4 linked regions of the Drosophila melanogaster genome follow. The protein of the gene in region 2 interacts with the protein of the main gene of each other region in a pairwise test. Each region holds a gene or a part of one and is shown on either strand. Other genes may lie near its edges. The genes, in order: GstT2, Cpr76Ba, CstF64 and CtsK2.

Evidence for each region.
Region 1: the proteins of Cpr76Ba (region 2) and GstT2 interact in a two-hybrid assay, tested with the Drosophila melanogaster proteins (one large-scale study listed by BioGRID).
Region 3: the proteins of Cpr76Ba (region 2) and CstF64 interact in a two-hybrid assay, tested with the Drosophila melanogaster proteins (one large-scale study listed by BioGRID).
Region 4: the proteins of Cpr76Ba (region 2) and CtsK2 interact in a two-hybrid assay, tested with the Drosophila melanogaster proteins (one large-scale study listed by BioGRID).

Annotation. Positions count from the first base shown.
Region 1 is NT_033778.4:9,605,076-9,609,571, forward strand, and holds GstT2 (glutathione S transferase T2), read left to right. Parts: upstream 1-2,216; 5' UTR 2,217-2,291; coding exon 2,292-2,409; intron 2,410-2,460; coding exon 2,461-2,563; intron 2,564-2,625; coding exon 2,626-2,942; intron 2,943-3,001; coding exon 3,002-3,150; 3' UTR 3,151-3,273; downstream 3,274-4,496. Other genes in the region: GstT1 (glutathione S transferase T1), read left to right, coding at 1,012-1,129, 1,205-1,307, 1,372-1,688, 1,750-1,898; CG12926 (uncharacterized protein), read right to left, coding at 3,274-3,528, 3,590-3,962, 4,021-4,334.
Region 2 is NT_037436.4:19,516,080-19,520,462, forward strand, and holds Cpr76Ba (cuticular protein 76Ba), read right to left. Parts: upstream 2,254-4,383; 5' UTR 2,197-2,253; coding exon 1,582-2,196; 3' UTR 1,473-1,581; downstream 1-1,472. Other genes in the region: Cpr76Bb (cuticular protein 76Bb), read left to right, coding at 3,616-4,212.
Region 3 is NT_033777.3:18,657,551-18,662,428, reverse strand, and holds CstF64 (cleavage stimulation factor 64 kD subunit), read right to left. Parts: upstream 2,812-4,878; 5' UTR 2,725-2,811; coding exon 2,588-2,724; intron 2,525-2,587; coding exon 1,402-2,524; 3' UTR 1,303-1,401; downstream 1-1,302. Other genes in the region: Cpsf73 (cleavage and polyadenylation specificity factor 73), read left to right, coding at 1-613, 675-1,117, 1,181-1,270.
Region 4 is NT_033778.4:17,509,305-17,514,752, reverse strand, and holds CtsK2 (cathepsin K2), read right to left. Parts: upstream 2,524-5,448; 5' UTR 2,386-2,523; coding exon 2,038-2,385; intron 1,978-2,037; coding exon 1,769-1,977; intron 1,704-1,768; coding exon 998-1,703; 3' UTR 898-997; downstream 1-897. Other genes in the region: CG4853 (uncharacterized protein), read right to left, coding at 1-15; CG34193 (uncharacterized protein), read right to left, coding at 4,470-4,607, 4,675-4,770.

The sequences.
Region 1 (4,496 bases), on a different chromosome or scaffold from region 2:
CCTGATATTTTATAAATGAAACCATAAGGGAGGAACATCGAAACTAAAAGCAAATTGAACAATATTATAGACGACAAGTGCACACTAAAACGAAATAAGAAGCAAATGGATCGCCATCAAATGGCACAAAAACCTCACAAGTTTGTCGATTTTAATTTATTGCTGTCCTTATCCACGCACATACTTATACACATTCTAACGTCCGGTCGAACGATTCATTCTACCATGATCCCATAATGCATTTTCATGATGAAATCTTCAACGTCTTCTACTTGCGTGCTAAGTTGTTGTTGGCTTTGATTTTATCGCATACTTTTATAAATACGGTACATGAGCATACATATATATTTTGGATAATTTTTCAGTTGGTTAAGTGTCGTTTTTACTAATTTTTGATACTAGTTTACACATACATATACATGCATCTCTATATTTATGGATAATACATACATAGTTAAATGACTATATTTAAATGTGACAATGTACTGTAGACCCCATGTTGAGTGCGTTAATAAATTAAAGCGAATTTGTTTAAATGTCGGTATAACTAAAACATAAATGGTATTACTTGGGGTTGCCTTCTTCATAAATGGGGTAAGGGTAATGTGTTTATCTGGTCGAGATAAACGCTTTGTGGTTCTTGATGACTGGTTGACATATCGCTGTTTGAACTGAGATTCCGATAAGTGAAATCGATAAGCTTTCGGTTATGACAAAAGCAAGGCTACAGCATTTAATTTTATTGATCATTGGTATATTTTATCTGACTTCTTACCACCACCTGATTATTTTGAACTTATATATTTGCCCGCCCTTCTCGGATTCCCCATAGAATGGGATGGGATGGCAATATCATTTTGGGTACAGTGTTGAAAAGCGACCAGTTTGAACTTTGGACCGGAATAAAGCTTTTTGCTTTGAGCTTTTTGACATTTCATCAGCGACAACAAATATATTTTGTTTTCGTGTTTACCGGGCTTCCTGAAGCTAACTGATTAATTAATTGCCAAGATGTCGAAGGCTATTAAGTATTATTACGATTTCCTATCGCAGCCATCCCGCGCCCTCTGGATTGCTATGAAATTGGGCAAGACCCCATTTGAAGACTGCCCGGTTGCCCTGCGAAAACGTAAGAATAAATAACAAGTTACACATGTATATAAGGTATAAAGATCTTCTAACATTTGGGATGGTTATATTCCAGAGGAGCAATTGACCGACGAATATCGCAGTATAAATCGGTTCCAAAAGGTGCCGGCCATCGTGGATGGTAAATTTCAGTTGGGCGAGAGTGTCTCCATAGTGCGGTAAGTTCAAGTATCCAGAGCTCGGATTGCCAGGTTAATACTATAGATAAATGACACATTTCAGATATCTCGCGGACAAGGGAGTCTTCAGTGAACAGCTGTACCCCAAAACCTTGGAGGAACGCGCGCGGGTGGACGAGTTCCTCGAGTGGCAGCATTTCAATGTCCGCTTGGTCTGCTCCCTGTTCTTCCGTCAGGTGTGGCTTCTTCCGGCAAAGGGACTGGCGCCGGCTCCCAAGCCAGAGTCTGTCAAGAAGCTAATCAAGGATGTGGAGAGTAATTTGGGTCTACTGGAACGCCTCTGGCTGGAAAAGGACTTCTTAGTCGGCGACAAACTTACCGTGGCAGACATCTTCGGGTCTTCAGAAATTAATCAGATGAGTAAGACTGAGCCCACTGCTGTATCTAAAATAAATTCTAATAATAACGATTTGTAATTTAGAGCTCTGCCAGTACAACGTAAATGAGAAGCAATTCCCCAAGGTGGCCAAGTGGATGGAACGCGTTCGTGATGCTACCAATCCCTACTACGATGAGGCCCACAGCTTCGTCTACAAGACCTCTCAGCAGGCAGTCAAGGCCAAAAACTGATTTCTTTTCGATTTTGACTGATTTCTTTGTTCATTGCATTTATTAGGATTTTAAAACATTTTTGTGCCTTATCTGATGTTTATTGTGTTCAGTTCTGCGCTGCAAAACTCCTAAATGTTAAAATAATTAGAGACTATGAAAAGGGGTGATATCGGATCAATAATAGTTTCATATGTTCGCTTTATATAATATAACTATCTTTGAAGTTGGGAGCCACTTTTGAATTTGCCTCCTAAAGCGGGACAACTATAATAGCATAAAACCAGTGTTGCAAGGTGACACTCAAGATCTTTTGACTGGAGCTTTGCTCAATTTCTCATTTTCCAGCTGAAGATATTCGTTTTTGCCGGCTGTTTGGAAGTTGGGGCTGAGGAACGGGAGCAATTGACCACCATGTCCAAGCCAATTAGATTCTATTACGATTTGTTGTCCCCGATCGCCCGTGGTCTATGGATTGGTTTAAAATTCAGCAACTCACCCGTTGAGTATTGCCCGATTGCCCTGCGAAAATGTGAGTCAAAGTAATCATCTAAACTGCCCCGACTCATTTATGTTTTATTAGTTGAGCAATTGACCGACGAGTACAAGAAGATCAATCGATTCCAGAAGGTGCCCGCCATTGTGGGTGGGGACTTCCATTTGTCTGAGACCATAGCGATTATAAGGTATGGGAAGGCCATCATTGGAAAGCAATCTCACATTTGGATCGTACATTGCCCCCTTGCAGATATCTCGCAGACAAAGGTCAGTTCGATGAGAAGCTCTACCCAAAGACGCTGGAGAACCGTGCCCGAGTGGATGAGTTCCTTGAGTGGCAACACCTGAACATTCGTCTTGCATGTTCCATGTACTTTCGAGATGCCTGGCTGTTTCCCATGAACGGGATAGCGCCCAAGCCCAAGCCAGAGCAGATTCAAGCACTGATTGAGGGAGTGGAAAACAATCTGGGTTTACTGGAGCGCCTGTGGCTGGAAAATGATTTTTTGGTTGGGAAAAACCTGACAATGGCTGATATCCTTGGCTCTTCCGAAATCAACCAGCTGAGTGTGTTAAACTAGTGTGGAGATAACTTAACGAAACTAATTATTTTTATTGTATTTAAGGGCTCTGCCAATACAGAGTGGACGAGAAAAAGTTCCCAAAGGTGGTCAAATGGTTGGAACGCGTAAGGGTATCCGCAAATCCCTACCATGACGAGGGACTGACTTTTATTGACCGAAAATCTAAGCAATCGACGGCGGCAAAGTTGTAAGGACTCAAGTACTTACCACTTACTATTTAACCAAATTCGTATAGTTTTATGTTGTTTAGTTTTGATTTGTTTGTGTTCGTACAAAGATTAAAAATCACTACGTTTTATATGTTACGCACTAGACTAGTCGATGTCTAGTTTTCTGAAGGATCCTTCGATTCCAAAAAGTGATTCGGCGCTAACGGGCTGTCCTCGCCGTAGCTTTTCATTCGTGCCATAAGAAGCCTCCTCCTCAAAGAATGGCTTGTAGGCCAGGAGCTTGGTCCTCCATGTACTGACGACGTCCTGGATGGTTCCATTGCTGCCCCCATACTCAGCTGGCAAGCATTCCTTGGGCACATACTTGTAGAGACTGTCCAGTTTGGAGTGTATATGAAACTAGACGGGTAGAAAATGTTCCATAGTGGTTACACTTTTGTGACATGTTTGATAAACTCACCCGTTTCCGAATCTTTTCGCTCATCAGGCTCTTGGCAATGGACATGAACTTCTCTGCACTGGAGGGCGCATTTACAAAGTGAAAACCCTTGGGCCTGTAGGGATACGCTTTGTCGCCCAAAACGGCCAGTTTCTTGACCAGCACCGCGTCGAACTGGAATAGGTGACCTGCCCCAACGCCCTTCATGTCGATGATCTCCACAAAGCCGGATATCATAGCATTGTCGTCTTCCCTTATCTGAATCTCGCCGAGCATCGTGTTTACCTGGACAACCTCGGCAATGGAGTACTTCTTCGAGTCGTATTGACCGTAGCGGGAGATGTGGATGCGAGGACCATCAGCCTGCAGTGGCTGCGGCAATCGGAGGAGGCAACTGCAATTTGAATAAATTATGAGGAAACATTCTTTTTACAACCTCAAGTAGATCTCACCCTGTGTCCAGAATGCTGAGCTGCTTCTCACCCACAATGCGATTCTTGTAGAGCTCGGGCACGGCTCCCCTCATCGCATAGAAGTTGTCCAACTTGAGTTTGGTTTTCTCCAAGCTGTATTTGCAGCCACGCAGGAAGGCGACCAGGAACTGGGCATCCTGGCGAGCCTTGAGATGAGGTTGCTTGGAGATCCAAGTGCGCAACGTTTCGATATCCTCATCGATTCTGTCGGGTATCTCTCCCAGCTCGTCGTGCGCCTTTTTGGCCAGCTCTGGACTCAGGCTGCGTATGGAATTCGAATAGGCCTCCGACATTGCTACTTTTCGCTGGGTTTGCCTTATCACCACCTGTTCGATGCAAAGCATAGGTTTGATTTATTGAAATTTTTCCAGGTGCGATTAGTCAACCGGTTGCTTTTGGCCCCGATTTCCGCCTAGTTATGACAGTAACTGGTGTCTCTTGAGCGATGATTAGAT
Region 2 (4,383 bases):
ACATGCACCACTAGCTCGGCAAATAAATCCGACCATATCCCTGGCATATCGGGATCCAAACTGTCAACAGTTTGTCGCCTATCGCGGCGTCGAAATTTTCTCTCTGTAACCAATAAATGTTTCAACATCATTTACATTTGTGGTGGCAGTCTTATCCTCGGAGCATTGGAAGTGGAATTTTCCCGGGGCGGCTACTTCAATCATTTCGGACCTCGGGATGCCTGACCTCAGGCATTCAGCTCGGTTTTCCACCGACTCCGGCGATTGCGTTCTGGGCAAACAGCCCTCCCAGATTTATGGGACCGCAAAACTTTGCTTCACGGCATAAATTAATGTTTAATTGATGAATTTATATGACGAGGGCACGATGCTCGGGCTTACATTGGACAGCATTCCATCATTGTGCGGGCCAGATGTCAAAGTTTATTCGCGGTCGCTTTAAAGACAATTATTTTCAAGATGTCAAAAACACAAGCTCTTAGTATCAATAATACACAATTCAAAGAAATACAAAGTTTTCCGACAATTATTGTGGAAGTAAATTAAAGTTAAAAATATTTATCGTTTTTAATTTTAACAGAATGAACTGCCTTGCATGTAACAAACCGCTTTGCCGGATGTAAGCAGTGCAACCCGAAGTTCTGTAAATTTCCGACAGGGGTCTCAGTTTTCGACATTTTTGACACTGTGTACGAAGCAATGTTTGTAAAGTAGATGTTGTATGTATTTTACACTGTGCTACAAAGTTCTACACTTTTTGTTATACAATAGATACAATTATTAGGGAAGTGTGGAAATTTTTTGAAAATAACATGTGTTTTGCTGTACTCATTATTTTAATTTAGTTCAACGTACACAAATGGTAAATTTAAGCTGACCAGGCTAGGCACTTTTTAAGATCTTATGTGGTCACCTATAGCTTTCTACTACTTATCAACTCAATTGGAAAATAGGCAATAAATAGGATTTCTCAGGCGTTGTTTCTCTGTCTCAGCAGATTAATAATATCAAAAATGGGAGGTCCGAAAAAACTTTCAATGGCATTCGTTTCGAAGTCAATGACTCTGGGCATCGAGATCGAGTCGAATAAGCAGGGGAACTTAAGTAACGACAGCGACGGCGATGTAGATGAATTAAAAAATTGTGAAAATCAGGAATATCTTTACCATCTTTACCATATCTTTACCGGACTCTGATGATAACTTTTGGAAGGACTTTTCTGAACAAGCCGAAGCCTTCAAAGTCCTTAGAAAAGATGTGCGTAAGATCTTCCGAACCTCCTTATGTGAGCTAGAATACAAAAAGGCTGCAAGACACTAAGGCCTCAACATCCTCCGTATCGAATGTATCTTAGAATTATTGGATCGGTAAGTTGTTTCTCTCATTTAATAAACGGTGTTCGTTGTGGTCTTAAATCTCAGAACTATTGTAAAAACTTTAAATAGTAAAGTAGTTTGATTTGTAGCTTTTTTCTGCACTTTGATATATTTACCTACTATTTAAGTTAACAATTTTGTAGTTCTATTTACAATAATTAAGTCGGTCCGAATCGCTTGCAGTCAGTCAGTTAGGTCAGCTCCTCTACCACCACTTGTTGCTCTTGTCCTCCCATTTGCTGCTGGTGTCCTGTTTGACATCCACGTAGCTGGTGGCATGACCATGCCCATGTCCGTATTGCTGGCCATATGAGTGGCTGTGCTCCAAGTGACTGGCGTGTCCCACATGCTTCACGGTTGCCTGGAATCCGTTGTGGGAGTCGGCGGTGTACTCAACGATCCTGGTGCGTCCGTCGGCCTCCTTCATGGTGTAGCCTCCCTTGACCTTGTCGCCATCGCGGGTCTCCCACTGCTGCTTGATGTCGCCGGTCTTGGTGTCCTTCACCCCGTAATTGAATTCGTATTTGGGATGGTGTTTGGGTTCCTCGTGGTGGCTCCACTGGTGGTGGCTATCGTGCGCAGCGACTGGAGCCCACTGCTGGTGGTGATGATCCTGAACTGTGCCCCATGAATGGGCCTTTGGGACATCCACCCATTGGTGGTGAGCCTGGTGGTGATCCTGCCACTGCTTGGGCGCCTCGTGATGCGTCTGGATGCTGTACCCCACGCCGTGTTCGTGACTATATCCACCATGAGGGATGTAGCTAGCAGCAGCCACTCCCAGAAGTGCGCAGCAGAGGATGCTCAATTGGTGGGCCATTTTCGTTGGTTTCTGATTGACTTGCCTGGCCTAAATCACGATTGGAACTGTTATAATCACCAGACAATGCCCAATGCTTTTATACTTCTGGCCATTCTATGGATCGATTAATTACATTTTAGACTGCGGGCTAAATAGGCTAGAAAAAAGTAAGAGCCCCAAAAATGGGTATAAAAAATGCTTCGAATTTTTGTGCAAATTTTCATTTTTCCCCATTCGTATTCATAGTCTTGGGCGGTCGGTCGATTGGCAAATTAAAACTTGCCAGAAACAACAACATCATCATTAAGCGGGGCGTGAACATCGCTCAAATGCTTGAAAAACGCAAAGCTTTTCGATTTTGTTGCTTAGAAATCAATCAACAAGTGTGGCCCGCTTTCAAATTGCTCAGCAATAGCCGCCTCGCCTCGCCTCGCTGCGTTTCCACGGTTGGACCCTCTTTTTCGCCTACTTCACTCCAAATGACCTTGAGACGGACGGTGCGGTAAGGGGCTGAGAAGGGGAGGGCAGCGTTGGGCGGACCGTCCAATCGGTTGGTGTTTCTGACCAGGGGGTCTGCTGTGGGGCACCCAGAGCTTCCGAATTGGTGTTAACTTACCGATAGTGTTTTTTAATGCATATAATTTACAAGGCTAATAGACTTTAAGCTCGGAAATTTGAAATGCGTGAAAATATAAGCATATTGGTATTTAGCCTACGTTATCTGATGTTAATTATTTTTAAGACGTTTATTTGCATAAATTGTTTCGCTATCTATAGGAATAACATGCATATTAAATAAAAAGAAATCCTGTAGTTCAAGTTTTAAAACTACTAATAACTATATAATAAATATAATGTTGAAGCCAACAGATTTCTAGGAAAAACACATAATTATTTATAGCAAAATAGGTTCGCTTTGGATATTTACATAAGGATTTCAAAGTACAACACTACAAAGTTTATTTATTGGTTAGTTTAACAGCATTTCCTTATTTCTTCAAGCAAAAGCTGCCGCCTTCATCAGTTCACATTCTCAGTCATAATTAATTTTTGTAAATTAAGCAATAAGTTCTTGCCTTAGTTTTTCCCTTCTCTTTGACTGAATACCAAACACATCGAACGATCTAACAAAAACTTTTTGGATCTGATATTATTAATTATTACTAGCAGAATTTAATTGTAACGGATTGGACTTTAAATAAAATGTGCCGATTTTCTATAGAGCTCAATGGCCGAAACAATAATAATAAGTACGAGTTAGTGAGGTAATTATCAAATCAGCTAGCTCGATTGGTGAATGGTGTGGCCAAGAGAATGACCACCCGATGGTTGATTGCCCCAGAGTCTTCGATAGCTATATATAGTCTAGGTGAGCTCCCCAAGAACCAGCAGACATCATCAAAGTTCCGATTGGAAAACAGCGAATAAGTGACCGATATGAAATCCTTTAGCGGAGGTCTGTTCTTTGCCCTTCTGGTGGGAGCCAGTTGGGCAGCTCCCCATGGTGGACACGCCACCAGCTACAGTTCGGTGACCAAGCACGAAGGACCCGTCCACAAGAGCCTGGGCTACGGATACGATCACGATGTGGTCAGCGCTTACGGTGGCATCTACGGACACGGCTATCCGAGTGTCGGCCATTCGGGCTACGGATACGGATACGACAAGCACGAGCCCCATCACTATCCCAAGTACCAATTCGACTACGGCGTCAAGGATGCCCACACCGGAGACCAGAAGAGCCAGTGGGAGACGCGGGATGGCGACAAGGTCAAGGGCAGCTACTCCCTCAAGGAATCGGATGGCACCACCCGAGTGGTGGAGTACACCGCCGATGACCACAATGGCTTCAACGCAGTGGTAAAGAAGCTCGGCCACGCCCACCACCCCCAGGTCTACCACAAGGGCTACGGACACGGCGATATCTACGACGCCGACTACGGCTACGGTCACGATGTGGCGCAATATGGCGGATACGGATACGGACACGGAGGCCACGCCAGTAGCTACGTAAGCGTGAAGCAGCTGCACTAAGCAACCAAAATGCGGACTCACCCGGCGAAAACGATCTGGAATCATCATTAGTTAACAATGCAACGAACTTACCTAACTAAAGCCAACTTTTTACAAGTGTAGTATTGACGATATTTATATTTGTATTGAAATAAATAAGCGTAGCTGTTTATAATCAAGAAGGGACGACAT
Region 3 (4,878 bases), on a different chromosome or scaffold from region 2:
GCTGTGAACAATCCCTTCGTTTTCCGCCACATTTCCAACCTGAAGGGTATCGATCACTTCGAGGATATCGGACCCTGCGTAATCATGGCGTCGCCGGGTATGATGCAGTCGGGATTGTCGCGAGAGCTCTTCGAGAGCTGGTGCACAGATCCCAAGAACGGAGTGATTATAGCCGGTTACTGCGTGGAGGGCACTTTGGCCAAAGCCGTTCTCTCCGAGCCGGAGGAGATCACCACACTGTCGGGCCAGAAGCTGCCGCTCAACATGTCCGTCGACTACATATCGTTTTCGGCTCACACGGACTACCAGCAGACCAGTGAATTCATCCGCCTACTAAAGCCAACGCATGTCGTGCTCGTCCACGGCGAGCAGAACGAGATGTCGCGTCTGAAGTTGGCCCTGCAGCGGGAATACGAAGCAGATGCAAGCACGGATATAAAATTCTACAACCCGCGAAACACACATGCCGTGGATCTTTATTTCCGTGGCGAGAAAACCGCCAAGGTGATGGGAAGCCTCGCAGCCAAGAACTCGGAGGTGGGAAGCAAACTCTCAGGTGTTCTGGTTAAGCGCGACTTTAAGTACCACCTCTTGGCTCCTTCTGATCTGGGCAGTAAGTAATAGTTAGTTAGTTTCTTTGTAAAAATGTCGATTCATTTAAATAATTCCCACAGAATACACGGATATGAGCATGTCTGTTGTAACCCAACGCCAGTCGATTCCCTGGGGCAGCTCGCTGAGCACTCTAGAGCTACTGCTGGATCGCATTGGAGCCGGATGCGTTGAGGTGCTGGAGGCGGAGCGAAAGCTGCGCGTGTTCGGCTGCATCGAGCTAACTGTGGAGCAGAAAATCATTGTGATGGAGTGGCAAGCGACGCATGTGAATGATGTGTACGCCGATGCCGTTCTTGCCTGCATCATGCAATCGGAGTTGGGCGGAACAAATCTGAAGGGTGCCACAAAGCAAACCAAGTCAGAGGACTCGCGCTTTCGGGAGTGCCTAATCGAGACGCTACAGGACACCTTCGGCGACAACTGCGTGCCAAAAATGTTCGAGGGCGATCTGCTGCCAGTGACGGTGAGCGGTAAACGTGCGGAAATAAATCTGGAAACCCTGGTGAGTGTTCGTCGAAGGTGCTTTTTAAAATCGAAAAATATCGTTAATCTACAATCTTTCCAGGCCATCAGCTGTGCCGAGGATGATGTGCTGCGACAAATGCTCAATACGACGGTTCAGAAGTTACACCAGACCCTAGTCTCCGCTCTTTGAAAACCATTCTATTCCGCTTAATAAATCTCCTTGTGTTGAAATGTTCTTTTTATTAATTGATTCAATGTTGAAAGTACTATAGTATGCATGAGCGAAATGGTGATTTTTCATTTGTTTCAGCCAGAGTAGTTTCAGCGCTGGGTACTCTTCGCAATCTGCTCTTTGAGCATGACAATACTGACCCGTTGCTCGGAGGGCAGCTGCGCAATCTGTTCGTCGGACAGCTGCAGTACCTGCATGATGAGGGCAGCCTTCTCCTGGTCGGAGGCATCCGAGGGCAGGACTCCATGGGCGCCTAGTCTGCTCTGCAACTGCTGAGCGGCCGCCTGCTGTTGTTGTGTCGGTGGCGGCGCTTGGGGGATTCCTTGTGGCGGCGCCTGCTGCTGAGGACCAGGTCCTGCCCTTAACCTGGGATCCATGGGACGCTGGCGCGGATCGCTGGGATAGGGGGCCGGTGGCGCCTGCGGAACGCCCTGCTGCTGCTGTGGGGGCATCTGGGCACGAGCTCGGGGATCCATCAGCGGCGGTGGCACTGGATTGGGTAGAGAAGCTCGCAAATCCTGGTCCATGCCACGGCCCATCATCCTGGGATCCATCGGCATGGGTCCACCCGGCACCATGCGCAAATCGATATCGTTCGGATGGACATTGGCCGGGAAGCCAGGTCCGGGAACGGGCATTGGTGGCTGGGGAGCCTGTTGCTGTTGCTGCGGGATCTGCACCTGCTGTTGCGGAACCTGTTGCTGACCCATCATGGTGTGATTCCCCGGCCCCTGGTGCGGATTGCCGCCCAAGACGGGGGGCATTTGGTTGGCCTTGAAGAGCATCCCGAGCGCCTGCTGAGGGTCCACGATCCTCATAACCACCATGGCCTGGAGCAAAGCGTACGCCAACTGAGGATTGAGCATTAGCATCTGGCGTGCCTCCGATGGATTGCTCACGATGCAGAGCTTCATCTGCTTCATCAGCTCGTACATTTGCTCCGGCGGCAAGGAAGCCACCGTTTTGGTGATGAGCTCGGGAGCATCCTCTGGTTCGCAGGGCTCGCCATAGGGATTCTCCACCTGGGGTCCCTGAAGCAGCTGCTGCATCTCCATGCGCGACTTCTCCGTACACGCGTTGTCCACTCGCAGTGTTCTGCCGCCGATCTCATAGCCATTCAGATTCCGCATGGCACTTAAAGCCGTCTCCTGGTCCTTGTACTCGCAGAAGCCAAAGCCCTTGGGTTTGCCACTTTCCCGATCAAAGACCAGTCTGGGGGATTGAGAATAGGAGGTTTACAGTGAGATATTGCATGGCTCTAAGTAGGGAACTCACTTCAGTGACAAGACCGGGCCCACTTCGCTGAAAATCTCCTTTAGCTTCTCCTCGGTGGCCTCGTAGGGTATGTTCCCCACAAAAACCGACCGCATGGACTTGTCCATTATACTTTGTTCCTGCGCCTTATCTGCCATATCTGTTGTTTGTTATTATTTACTGCACAAACTCGACAAAATCTTAGCAAACGTTGACAAACTTGTCTAAAAAATTCCCTGCGTTCCGGCTTGCTGTTTCTTCTTCTTCCTTGAATAATTTCCCTTACCAGGGATTCATACTTTTCATATACTTTTTGGGAAATAAAGCGGTATGGGACGCAAAATATTAAACAAAGTGTAATAACAGATACGCAAGCCATTTTATTTTATTTTCTTATCTAAACACCTGAGAAAATAATTAACAGTATTGGTCTAATTTTTGGGATTCTCATCCATTGCCATCACTTAGAAACGTAGTATTTAGCAAGAAAATAGCTAAATGCCCTGCTTAGCCAAAAATACCACCACTGCTAGTGCTGGTAAGTTCCCGCAGCCCGCATACGTTTTGCAGCACTCCAACGCCTGGTGTTGTAATTTTTCTTGTCGCAAGGTGAAAACGATTTAAACGGTTTTTGATAGTGAAAAGTGCACCAATATGCACGAATTGTACACCAAATTGTAGATGAAAGTGGCGTTTATTCGTTTTCTATGCGGCAATAGACAAAAAACGGCTCGAAGTGCATGAAAAACGTGCTTGAAAATATTACTTTGTGTGTAGCCACACGCACTCCAACACACACAAACGCACACACACACAGACAGAGGGAGATAAACGCAGCGATGGCCTCGCAGTCGCACTCGCACATATAAAAAGCTCGCTTGTATATTGGAAGAAGGAGCGCACAAAGCGGAAGACGAGAGGAAAGATTTCTGTGTCATTGAACGAGAAAAAGAAGAGAAGAGAGCCTCCTGGCTCCTGGTCCTCCTGTTCCAGTTCCTCCTCCAACTCCACTTCCTCTTCATCTTTAAGCGGCCGCAGGTGCACCACGCTCTTTACATTTCCAAGGATACGCTCTCAGCCGCTCTCTCTCTCGATCGATACTGGTAATTAGCTGGCGTCCTCTCTTTGTGGAAGTGTCATTCCATTCCATGGACGAAACGAAAACGAAATCGATGGCAATGGCTGGTGAACAAAAGCGGAAATATGTGCATTTTTAAATTGTGTGTGTCTGTAATTATGTGAATAATAATCAGCAGAAAAAAATCGTACAATAAGTGGCAAGATCAGCGACATTAACGCACACAAACAAGCGCGCGTGTGTGCACACTGGAAAAAAGGTTGGCTGGCGATTGTTGTCGCTGCAAACTGGGATACTGGAATAAATCATAATGCATTTACGCACCGTGTGCTCCTCAATTTTTCGACAGTCTGTGTGTGCATGTGTGCATGTGGGTGTTGTGTGTGCGTGGTGTGTGTAACCTTTGGCAAAGGAAAAATCAATAGCAACAGACGTAGACATTTGTTTGCCGCTGTTTATGTGCAGCCCTCGCATTGTCCTTCGCCCCCAAAACAAAGAGCCACCCTTGCAGAGATGGCCAAATCCCAAAAAAGAAACAAGTGAATGTTGGTCTGCAGACAGACTATAAATAAAAGCAAAAGTTATCGCAAAAGGCAAGCAGCAAAAGGCAAACCAGATGAACGGCCAATAACTCGTCAGCAGGCTGGGTCTGGGTCGTTGCCTCTTTTTTTCCGATTCTGATTCCGTTTCTTCCTGCTGCTCTGGCTCCCCGAGAGAAAAAAGCTGCTCCAGAAGTTGTCTCACCCATCTGCAACCGGCATTCCAATCCGCCATTTCCATTGCCCAAACAGGACCTTCTAATCAGAATTCTTATGTTGCTCTACTCAGAGAATGTGGTTAATATGAACGGATTCGAATATAAGACATGGCTTTACTAAATCAATAGAATCGATTTAAAATGGCACCTCTGATTTCGAAAATGTGGAATCGACTTTAAGGGTGACTGTGTTGAGGTTGGGTCTGCTTTGTGCTAGAAAAGTTTATTGACTCTTGTTCTCTCATTTTGATCCTTTGCGATCCTCAATTATTAAATATGCCTTGTATGTTTAATTGTACTTATTTGGTAGCTTTCTAAAGAACAAAATAATTACTGGTAAACCAAAATCATTATAATCATCATATTAGAAATGCACTCGCTGTTGAAACAATTTTATTTTTATCATGCTTTTATTTTGTTGGCTTTTAAAGAAATTACTCACTACAAGAAACTTCCAACGAACGTTTTTTTACTGAT
Region 4 (5,448 bases), on a different chromosome or scaffold from region 2:
GATATCTTCGTCCATGCTTGGGGCGGGGTTATCGGGGATGGGGAAAGTGCAGACACACGGGGATCTCTGGAGAAACGTGACTATTTGGCTGCGATGGTTGTTAAATGCGTTATGACCACAGGGGGACTCTTTGGATTAGTCGCAATGCACATGCACCACTATCGCGTACATTTCTGGAAAGGAAGGGGCAAGGGGAAACCTCGATTAGCACACACACAGTGGGAGAAAGACAGGTGGCCGGGGGCTTTGGTTTCGTGCGCTCTGGTGACAACGCCCACTTTCCCAAAAGTGGGCTGGTCTCTTCTGATCAGAACATCGCTTCCGGAGCAGACACACCTGCAGGAACACTGTTGCGCGGTGGCCTTCCATCGGACGCACTGCCGCCTTTCGTCACGGCATTCCCCGCCTGCTGCTCATCAAATGTCCGCCGTTTTTTCTGCGCCTAATATAGTTTAATTCGCCAATTGACTTAATTTATTTCTATTATTGTTGTCTCGGTACAGCGATACCATCGATGTTTACACAAATTTGGCAATAATCGATATCCCCAACTGGGGAAATCATCGATTACTTGCTTTCTTGCTGTAAATATCCGCATCTGGCAACGCTTTTAACAGGTTTTAAAATGTCAAGCGTTATTTCCGTTACTATCCCCAAACATTTTTTTAATTTACCCGAATATCTAGATCTTCTTGTTTGGACATAAAGGTCTGGTTATTGTTCACATCAAATTGCTGAACTCCTCTAAAGTTCGTTTAGTGCCCAATTAACCCGTGAATAGTTTTAAATTTCCAAAAGATTCTTGTTTATTCCTCTTTAATTTGTTATCTGTAAATATTTAAGCAAAGCAATGCATTGCATTACTTTCGTTTAACTACTCTAATTTAGCAGCATTATAATTAAGAAAAGACTTTTATTTAAGAAATGGACGCAACCAACGCCAAGTCCACATCACAAACTGCACAGTAAATTTTGCCATAAATTTCGGATTCCCCGCTTAAACCACGGGATAGGAGCACTCCTCAGCAATGAAGCAGTAGTTTTTGCCGCGAGGCAGGCGGAAGTAGCCCTTTTCGCCCCAGGTGTCGTCCCAGGAGTTCTTGACGATCCAGTAATCCTGTCCTTTCTCCGATCCGTAACCGACGACCAGAATGGAGTGGTTCGGCTCGCCCTTGTTGCACTCATCGTCGTTATAGATGCCACCGGCGTAGTTCTTAAGAGTCTCCAAACCATTCACCGAACAGGCAACTGGTCCCAGAGTGGCCACCACCTTCTTCAGCTGCTCCTCGTCCTTGGGCGGAATAGCGGCGAATCCCTGGAGGGTGGCTCCGGACTTGCTGCCATCGTACTTGCACGTGCCCTTGTTGTCAATGTAGGGATAGGCCCCCTCCTGGGACACACCCTTTTGCACCTCATCGATGAAACAGAATGCGGCCTCCTGGAAGCCACCATCGCAGCCATTCAGGCCAAAGTCCTCCACCGGACCACAGTCGACCAGATTCTGCTCAGAGAGATTGGGCAGGCTGCCGGTCTTGCGGAAGGTGTGTCCCTCAATGGCACCAGTGGTGGCAAAGGCCCAACAGGAGCCACAGGTACCCTGGAATTTGACTGGTGTGACACCGCCATGCTCGCGCCAATCGAAGGCATCCGGGATGGGCTTCGCAGGCAGGTTGACCAACTTCAAACTGGCAGCAGCTCGAGCCCTGGGTGCAGATATAGAATTGATAAAATCCTATGCCGGCTGTGCAAATGGTTTGTTAGCACTTACTTAGCCTCCGGACTTCTCTTCAGACCGGTCAATTGACTAAGGAACTCAGAGTGGGTCAGATCGGCGAAGGCGTTCACGGCCTGCTTGAAGGTGTGCACTCCTTGGGCAAAGGCTGCGTTTCCGGCTTCCACCAGGTTCTTGGTGGAAGCGAAGGCACCTTCATGAAGAGCGCGATCAGCGGCGGAGAGATAGGTCTTTCCAGATTGGCTCTGCAAATCGGTTGAAGTTTTACTTCTACCTTTGAAATTGATCAATGCTGCCTATCTCACCAAGAAGTCACCAAAGTCCTGGACGTTTGAGAGCAGCGGCACCTTGGGCACAGCCTTGGCAATGTTGCCCACGGCATTCTGAACGGCGCCGGCCACATTTTGTAAAGCTCCACCCACTCGATTGTTGCCCAAGCCTCCGAGTCCACCTCCAAATCCGCCTCCGAGTCCACCTCCAAATCCGCCTCCAAATCCACCGCCTCCGAATCCCTGGCCAGAGACCACAGCCACCAGAAGTGGAAGAACCAACAGAAGCTTCATACTGATCTGCCAAAAGACGAAACTATTAGTTCCGACTGGTTTTGTAGTCGAAGGGTGAAACGGCGATGCACTAATTATATTTGATTGCATATGATCGGCTTATCAGCCGATTTGCTTGTCTATTGCAAATACGAGATACTATTGCACAAATTTTTCTGATGCGAGTAATCGCAAGTAATTCCCAATAGACTAACCTAACGCGCTCGCACGGTCCACACAAATGTTTTTGTCTCGACCGTCGATCGGGGCTTATATAGCCATTAGACTAGTAGGTTTCAGGCTATAAACTGGCCAACCTCGCCCCCACCCGATCCATTCAAATCCATAAATCCCAAGTCCAGTGATTCGGAATTATACAGAAATCGAAACGCGTTGATTATACCATGCATATCGTATACGAGTATGTGCTATATCTGTTTTGATGTGTGCGATCCGACCGATCCAGCGATATTCGCCGTGTGGTTTGGGAACTCGTCTCGGTTCATTAGCGCCATGCAAGATGGTTCGGAATATGGGAGAGTATTAGAATTTAATCTATTTTGGTCCAGATTGGGTGTGTTTAATAAAGTGGATAAATCTTGATTATTTGACTTTTATGTGATAGAACGATTACGCATTTGGGCTGCTTTCTATCTGAATGCATTCGTATATTTGATCGCACGGATTCTCGTTTGCAATTAACACTTTTAATCACTTCTCAAGTCACTTTTTGATAACGTATGCTTTCAGGAAAAACCGGAACTCGACGAAAACCCGTTGTTAAATTCGTGTAAATTAGGTATTACGTGAAGTGCATGGAGTATATTTTGAAGCTTAAAAGCAAAACCCGCTTGAGTTCCGTTTCCAATTAATTATAACACCGTTGAGTGACGATCTGTATCGGTTCAAGCGATTATTAATTATGTCAATCAACCTTTGTGGACGATGGACTTGGATCCACTTTTTTGGGGCCATCCCAATTCCCGATCTTTTATAGCCTACCCAATTTGTAATAGTGTCGTGACTAATTAATGTGTTTTGTATGGATTGACATAGTCATGCATGCATATTAAACAAATATATTAATTTGCATTTTAATTTAACACGTCGGTTCCACAATTTTTTTCGGGTTTTGAAACAGTAGCTACGTTAAAATGAAATCTAAATAGCTTTGCTAGAATACTTTTGAGATGTAATAAATTCGTCGTTTGTGCCTTGGGGGATCCCCAATCAGTTTGGGAAAACAAGTTTTTTATCTAAATTAGGTGACTATGGATTAATTATGTCAACTAGGCAATGAATATTCATCAAGTTTCTGCTTATTTCTGGTAAAGGGCCAATCATAGGATTTGTTTTCAATTAAATATTGTCTGCACGTGTTTTTCTATAAGAGATTCAAATTAGGAATGATTGTTTTTTTTCTAGAAATATTTATCTTCAATATTTAGTAACTTGGGAAACTGCTCAAGCACTCATACTGCTCATTCGTCATTGATTGTAATACATACACATACATATATGGGAAACTAGTATCTTTGATAAATTCAGAAATAAATTTAAATAAAAATGGGTCTTGATTAATAGCAAAAGAACCAACAAACAGTAGCTCCATCTGAACTGCCAGAGAAACAGGTGCTATAATTCGTTGAGTATCAAACTGGTTAATAAAGAACTTAATTTAAAGTTCTTCAGCTACAATCAAACAATTTATTTGCATTGCCTTACTTGTTTTATATCTGGCACAGAAATTAATGTTTTAAATTAAATAAGTTATTAGTTAAGCATTAGTTAGTGCCATTAAGCACGCCATATATATATGTTGTAATGTTTGATTAGCGAAATTTATCAAAAACTCAATAAAATATAGCACGCGAAAAAAACTGGTTGCATTTTGTAAATTTGTAAGCAAGATTAAATTATGTTTCGTCCTTCTCCAAAGTAAATTAATGTTTTTGTACCTAATTTTTGTGAACTTCATGTTCAATTAATTCGAATGAAGGCCAAATTTAGTTATTAGAATGTAAGCTATTTTATAGCGAGTTAGTGCTATGTTTCTTAACTTATATTTCAGAAATTCCTTGACTTTTCTAATGTTTTGCTAAATATAATTCGCATCTATAAGATGTCAACGAAACAGATTGTCTTACGAACATATACTTATTAAATTTAAATAATAAATAGGTATTCCTTGGCATCTATCCACTCTTGCGATGTTTGGCTAGTCGGGGGCGCGACTCCTGGGCTTCGTGAATGGGCGTGGCCTCTGGCAGAAAGATAATGGGTTTTCGCAAATCAACCGGAGGTTGCGCCCAATTCTTCGTCATAGGGAAGCGCTGAGTGCACATATATGAAAATGCATAGAATTAACAAAACATCTTGGCTTCTCCGAGGAATACTTACCCCACTGGGTCCATTTACAGATCCATGTCCCACCTGGGGAAGGGCCACTGAAAGAGCCAAAGTGGCCAGGAAAGTTAAAGCCAGGAGTACTTTCATTGTGTGGTTAGTTGCAAAGGATATGGTTTTCAAGGCAAGCGTTTGGATTGCACTGATACTGCATACCGGCGAGATTCCCTTATATAATCGCACCAAGTCGGAACTTTCGCCAGCGCTTTCAACTTCCGCAACTTCCGGGTTTTATCTTCCAACTCAATCGCATTCGGGCTGTTTAAAAATACTCCTCTTATCGGCTGGCACTTTTGCTTTCTGGAGCCGTCGTTTACCCCAGAGATTTATCCTGATTGGGGCATTCCCGGCGAGCAGTTACTTACTGTTCTCGCTTATTCTTGAAGTAGAAAAAAAAAGAAGAAGGAAATAATGAGCCCAAGAACCTGGAGAGCCAAAGAACCATGGAACCAAGGAACCAAAGAACCTTTTTTATATTCGTTCGTTGGACCCTGCTATACATTTCAAGGTTGTCTTGGCATCTGCTGCTGCTTTTGTTGCTGCTGGCACATACCACACACATATATATATATATATATACATATATGGCCACACATATGTACACCTCGTTCTGTGTGTGCTTCTTTCATTACCAACTTTTAGCAGAGCAACAACAACGCACAACAACATCAGTCAACAGAACTTCAAACGAAGTCAGTCGTCTGCGCATGCGCAAAGTCGCAGCTCAAAATGAAGATGAAGATGAGGATGAGGACGAAGCTGGGAATG